Linked DNA regions of Rattus norvegicus. The protein of the gene in region 2 interacts with the protein of the main gene of each other region in a pairwise test. Links are inferred from orthologs where the notes say so. Each region holds a gene or a part of one and is shown on either strand. Other genes may lie near its edges. The genes, in order: Mycbp and Mycbpap.

Evidence for each region.
Region 1: the proteins of Mycbpap (region 2) and Mycbp interact in binary tests that used the Homo sapiens proteins (3 or more experiments, as listed by UniProt). The link is inferred for Rattus norvegicus from reciprocal best matches to the Homo sapiens genes MYCBPAP and MYCBP.

The regions. Positions count from the first base shown.
Region 1 is NC_086023.1:141,423,477-141,426,155, reverse strand, and holds part of Mycbp (C-Myc-binding protein), read right to left. Parts: intron 888-2,679; coding exon 839-887; intron 644-838; coding exon 514-643; intron 1-513. UniProt on the Homo sapiens protein: May control the transcriptional activity of MYC. Stimulates the activation of E box-dependent transcription by MYC.
Region 2 is NC_086028.1:79,957,023-79,960,845, forward strand, and holds part of Mycbpap (MYCBP-associated protein), read right to left. Parts: exon of another isoform or gene 3,574-3,823; coding exon 3,446-3,573; intron 2,850-3,445; coding exon 2,690-2,849; intron 2,580-2,689; coding exon 2,476-2,579; intron 1,892-2,475; coding exon 1,708-1,891; intron 1,475-1,707; coding exon 1,359-1,474; intron 933-1,358; coding exon 791-932; intron 1-790. UniProt on the Homo sapiens protein: May play a role in spermatogenesis. May be involved in synaptic processes.

The DNA.
Region 1 (2,679 bases), on a different chromosome or scaffold from region 2:
GGAATTTGAGCAAAGGCAAATTTCAGCTCTAGATAAAGTCGAGTACAGCTTTCTTCCGTCCTTTTGAGAACCTGGAGCTAGCATGCTTCAGACAATGCAGACTGTGTCTTAACAACGCAGTGGCCTAGACTGACCTAAACAGCTTAAGAACTTACTTTAAGCAGTATCAGCCAATGTCCCCACCTTTTCATTGATGTAGGTTCTCACTCCCTTTTCGTGACTATACTTGCCTATCCAACTTTTTATCGGTCTTGGGACTTTTCTAGATGAGGCTTAAGTTTGCCATGGATCTGACTGAAACTGATACTGTCCCTCCCTGCTACCCATTAGTGGAGTTTTGGGTTTAGTTGTTTACTGTGGTTTTATCATGCTACAGATGGAACCCAGGACCTTCTACTCATGCCAGAAAGACGCTCGACCACTGAGCTATATCCCTGGCCTGCAGTAAGGATTGGTCAGATAATCATTAGAGGCAAGATTACTTTTTAATTTGAATTTGGTTTTTAAATTTACCTTTGCTTTCAGTTTTTTATTTTCTTCTACAGTAGCTTCATATTTCTCTTTCATTTCTGCCAATTCTAGGCGAAGCAGCTCTATTTCTGGGTTCTCCGGGGTGGCAGCTCCTAAGTGATGCTTTAAAAAGCTGACATCAGTGTTAAGAACATACTCAGAGCAGGGTGGGCCAGGACAGTCACCACCACACCACAGCGGTTGTCCAGGGTCAGGTGAAGAGTCAAAAGAACTTTTCAACAAACAAAGTATTGAAAGCGCATTATATATGTGAATAAATAAAAATGTCAGAAATATGGCTTTTTCCCTTCAGAGATGAAAAGGATACTCCAGAGCACTGGTGGGCTTCTCTGGTTCTTCATATAAGGCTACCAACACTGCAAATCAAAGAGAAAGAACAATTAAGTCTCCAGTGTAGACGGCTGAAATATTCTGAAACTCAGTAAACACTGTCTGCCTGCTGTACGGTGAGCAGATTGCTAAGACTGTCCTGTCCATACAGTGGTGAACAAGTCAGACAGTACCCTTGCTAGCAACAAACTCATCAATCTGTCGTAAAAGATAAGGAACTAAGAGAATACTCAGCTGTAATAGTGGTTAGTGAGTTTTAGAATACTCAGCATCAGAGGCAGATCTGAGACCTAGCTGCATTTCAGATTAAATGGAAAAGCTCAAAGCATATACAAGGGAACCAACAGGTCAAGTATGTTGTGGGGTTGTGGGTAATAAAAGGAAAGATAGTCTGGGGCCAGACTGAGACAACTGAGAAAAGCTTAGTTGAATTTTGATCCTAAGGACTACAAACATTATTTCAACAGTTTGAAAGCAAGGAGGTAGCAGGGTCACTCCTGAATGCTGTATACAAGCCTGACTTAAGTGGGACATGGAAAATGGCCCAGAAGAAAGCCGGGTACCCATACCTGTACTCTCAGTACTAAGGAGGTGAAGCAGGGGACTAAGGAGTTCAAGATCATTCCTGGAAAAGCAATGAGCTGGAGACCTGAACTACAAGGAGCCCTGTCTCAAAAACAAAAAATCTAATGTAATGTACTTGAAGACATTTTAGGTAATTAACAGCATTCCATTTGAAACGTTCAAGAATTAAGTTTCATGTATGACAAGCTAGGCACCAACCAAAAAAACGTTACCACAGTCAACATGCTCAGACTGGCATTAACAATGTGCTAGCACTTCCTGTCAACACTGTCTCTCACCTACTGAACAAGGATTCAGTATGCAGGGGGCAAGGTCTCCACACTTGTGCTGAGGACAATTTGAAAAACTCTCCTAAGGCTGTGTATGCTTGAGTCAGTGTGTTGCTGAGACAGGTAACCCAAGCTGACCTACAATTCACTATTGTACTACCAGCTAGCCTCAAACTCATGGCAATCCTCCTGCCTCAGCACCCCCCCCCCCCCGTACAAGTGTTATAAAAATCTGACAAAAGTAAAATATGCAACTTCAATGTGCATAACTTGAGAGTCCAAATTAAGAAATCCTGTTGTAAACCAATGTACATGTGCTGGGTTTTCGAGTTTTAATGACAAAGTACAGACAATATGAAAAATGTCAAGTGAGCAAGCACTTTTACACCAAAATACACAGTTTTTTGAGAAATCCACATTTATATCGCAACTATCTGACCATCTCTTAGTATGTTACATTATCTCAAATCCCTACTACTACTTTTTTGCTTTAAAAAATACATTTAAAAGTGTTTCTTCATTTACTTCCACTGATCTGTACGGAGTCTTAGTCATTATTTACTTACTTTTAAAGATGGCATCTCTCTGTGCAGCCCTTGCTGTCCTGAAACTATGTAAACTAGGGTGGCCTTGAGCTCACAGAAACTGCCTGCCTCTCTGAGTGCTGCCTCCCAGGTGCTGAGATTAAACACTTGCACCACTAGGCCGGCAAGGATCTACAGGGTGTGACTATTAGTGCTCTTGCCTTTTCCTTCCGTCACTGCATCCTCACTTCCCTCCAGCTCCCAAATTCCTGCCTTGGTGTCTGCATGGCTGGAGCCACAAAGTGTTAAGTTTTGTGTTCTTTTCTGTGGAATAATTGTGCTTTTTATCTGAAGAGAATTCAACCAAATCATATTCGCTTTTGCTTTAGAAGCTAAATTTACTGTTATTACAATATTGGGGAGGAGGTAGAAATCAGAGG
Region 2 (3,823 bases):
GGTACTAACTAGAACCCAGGTAAACTCTGAGATTTGCTCAAAGCCGAGTGAACCAGGATTTGGGACGGAGTCATGCTGACCACCACCACACACTACCCTGCCTCCAGCACCAGGCACAAGAAGCTAATAGATTTGGGCCCTTGAAGTGGAAATTTCTCATTTCTTTGGAGACACAGTTGTATCATGTGATGTTTTTCCTGTGCTGCTTTTCTGGAAACTGTGTTCTGGAGAGGATGTTCTGCTGAAGCAGACACATGTGAGGATGTTTTGCTGAGAACAGACATATGGTGTTTTTCTGGAAGCAGCCTGGGAAAAGGACACATAATGTTTTGCTAGAGTGGATGCTTGAGAGAACACGTGATACTTGGGAGGGGTGTAAATATAACCCAGCAGACAGACAATGGATGACACTGTGTGGTATTGGTTCACCTTGCCACTCTTTGCTGGTCATCATTTGTCATGACTTCATAGAAACACCACCAAAGGACTTCCGGTGGTGTTCCAGTGGCTTCTTGCCTCAGAGCCTCTCTGTATCCTTTGGATAGAACTGACATTGCTGATTTGTGCATGGTGTTTTCGAGTGGATAAAGCTACTGCTGATGTGTGTGGACTGAACCTCTGATATCTTGACAAGGCAGATTGTATTCGCTCCAAAGAACTATTTCTAAAAGAGGGTCCACACCCTCTTTTACCTTATTAACCTTTCCTTCCTACTTCCTCTGATAGGCTTAATTACTTGCTTAATTAAAGTAAGTTTTGAAAAGTGTAAGCCTATAGCCCTGCTTCTCACCAGTCTCCATTTGGATAGAGAAGGGCTTCCTGATGTGTGTGATGGGTTCCACCAGACCACGCTGCTTTTTCTTCTTGGTCATGAGAAGACCTGACTTCTCATCACCCAGGTATTCCAGCGGGCTCCAGAAACAATTCATCGCCTTAAAGTCAAGATGAGGAAGGACAGAGCAGTGAGGTCACCCCCTCAGTACCATAGTCAGAGACTCACTGGGACATCCACTCGGACCCACTGGCGGAAGAGTGAGGCATTCAACAATATTCTAGTTCTCAAGAAGGCAGAAAGATGGGTCCCAGCCCAGGCACTCATGGATGTACCAAAACCTTGGTTGGACCAAAGGTTGGAGTATAAACCTTTAGGAGACAAACATTAAGACTCTTATGATAAACCAAATACCAGAGACCACCAGAGGCTGAGTTATTAAAGTGGGCAGTCATGGAACATGAAATAAAGAATCCCAGGGCTTAACAGTGCTTGGTAAAGAAAAGGTGATTTCCTCCCATACAGTTCACCATGTGCATTCTGAGCTGTTCCCCCACCCACACTCCTCTCTCCCGCTCTTCCTCACTTTTCTGTCATGCTGGGTAGGAAGTGCACGGTCAATGGCCTCTCGCTCTTCCTGGATCTTTCTGTAGCCCTCCCCACTGTTCATCAACAGCTCACTTGCTGGCTTCTTCAGGTGCTCTAGAGAGGGAGAGAAGGAAGACTGTGATTGCTGCACCAAACACAAAGCACACTGAATTGGGTGGTCTACTCCCGGGCTCATTTCAGAACACACTGAAGCCTGAAACCCAGAAGCTTCATGTTAGTCAGTGTAAGTCCGGGCTGCGGGGTGGGTGAGAGAGAAGACACAGAAGGCACAGGCGAGCCTCGGTGACAGATGGGGGCCTGGCAGGTCCCTAGTCAGCTCAGCTTACCACTGAGAACTTCCTGTTGCTTCTTCCGCAAGGTGATGTGCCGTCTCCAGTTCTTGAGGAAGTTGTGCTGAAGAGGTGGGGCCCATGGAGGCCTCTTCTCCTCCTTTGGGGACTTTGGCTTTGGCTCTTCTTTAGCTGAGATGAGGGTCATCAGGCAGGGCTGGATATTGATCAGTTTAGCCAGCTGGAAAAAGCAAGGTAGAGGAGGTGCTGACCCAGGTCCTAGGTTTTGTCCTGCTCTAAGGATCCCTCCTGTTCAGGACCAGAGGGTGACAAGTGACAGAAAACAAACCAGGGCCTGAGGAATGCTGACAGTCCCCTCTGCCCAGAGAGCTCAGCATCCCTTAGGGTGTAGCCATCTTCTCCACAATTGATGACTTCCTCCTGAGTAAGTGAGCAGGGCCCTTAGTGCCCTGCCTAACAGAAGTGAAGGCTCTGAGGCAGAATTGGGGGATATCTCCCTCCAGCATGTATCTCAGCAATCCAGTCTCCAGAGAAGGGGCATGAGGAGCTGAGGTCTGCTTTGCTATTTGAGTTTCACAAGGCAGGCTCTGAGTTCCTTCTAGTAAATCCCCACTTCAGCTAAAGCTGTCTATCAGCAACTGGTTTCTGTGACTTGCAACTGCCTCCCAAAGGGTCCCTTATCATCCAGGCCCAGAGTCCAACTAGCTCTAAAACCCTACCCCTGGGCCCCCATCTCCACACACGCCCCTTTGACTCTATGGCTTCAGCAACGTCTCTCAGCCACTTAGCTCTGTGCAAACAAACCTGGGTGTTTCCCCGAGCAACTGCGATTCTTTTAAAGTCCTGAAGACTCCCCAGGATCTGGTGAGGGAGGATCTGGTCACTACTTAAGAAGCTGTCCCGAGGACCTGGCAGGCAGGGAGAGAAGGATGGAGACCCAGAAGTTGTGAGTCACACACAGAGCAACTATTGGCTGGAGACCCATCCAAGAATGCAAAGCCCACAACAGAACCCATACCGGAGTAGTCCAGAGGCTTTGTGGTGGCATCTGGATTAGCAGGATGTGCTACCAAGTGGTAGACCCTTTTGCAAGAATCTTTCGGTTTGAGCTTACGGATGATAAACTTCTGTGTAACCACAGGCTTTTCTCCTGTTTCTTCAAACTGAGGAATGTGTTGCTAAAACGAAACAAAGCTGAGGAGAATGCTACCTGGGGAGAAGAGGAAGCACACACACACACACACACACACACACACACACACACACACACACGAGTGCACACACATCTCTGTTCTTGGCAGAATTCCTGAGGGCTGACTAGTCGGCTTCCCCAGCCCCATCCATACATCCTGTTCTGGAAATGTCTGTGTGACAGACCTGAGATTTAGGAGTAACCTGGAGGGGGAAAAATGACACCTGACATGTCCAGACAGATTAAGTAAGAGCAAATGACAGGTAAGGGGAAGGGCTGGAGTTCAGCAGCCTCATGCTCATTTCTATCTGTGATGCTTGGACTTACTTGCCCATCTGTGGAATGGGCCTGATGGCACTTGCCCCAAAGTATCTCACTATTTTGTGGCTCTCATAAAATCTCAGAAATATGAAAACCTAACTTCCCGTGAATTCCTTCAGATGCTAAAGTGAAAGAATTTATATTTGGTGTATTTTTTTTTCCTGACATGGTATTAGTGACTCCTTGGGATTAGGAAGCCAGTGGCGGGGTGAACCGTGAACATGGCTGGGTGCTCTAAGAGATCCTTGGCCTTGGTCTTACCTTCGTCAAGTCTTCCTTTTTGATGGCCAAGGCAAGAATGTCATCTCCTTGTAAGACATTGCTGACAGGCTCAGGCTCTTCCTGGATGGGGGGGGTGGGCTGTTCAGGTGCCTTCGCCCGCTTCTTTTCTGGAGAGAGGTAAAGAGCTATGTCCCAAGAGCTCTCTGCATATCTTTTTTTTTTTAAGATTTATTTTATTTATATGAATACACTGTAGCTGTCTTCAGACACACCAGAAGAGGGATGGTTGTGAGCCACCATGTGGTTGCTGGGAATTGAACTCAGGACCTCTGGAAGAGCAGGTCGGTGCTCTTAACTACTGAGCCATCTCTCCAGCCCTCTGCATATCTTAATACACAAACAAGATACACTGAGGGC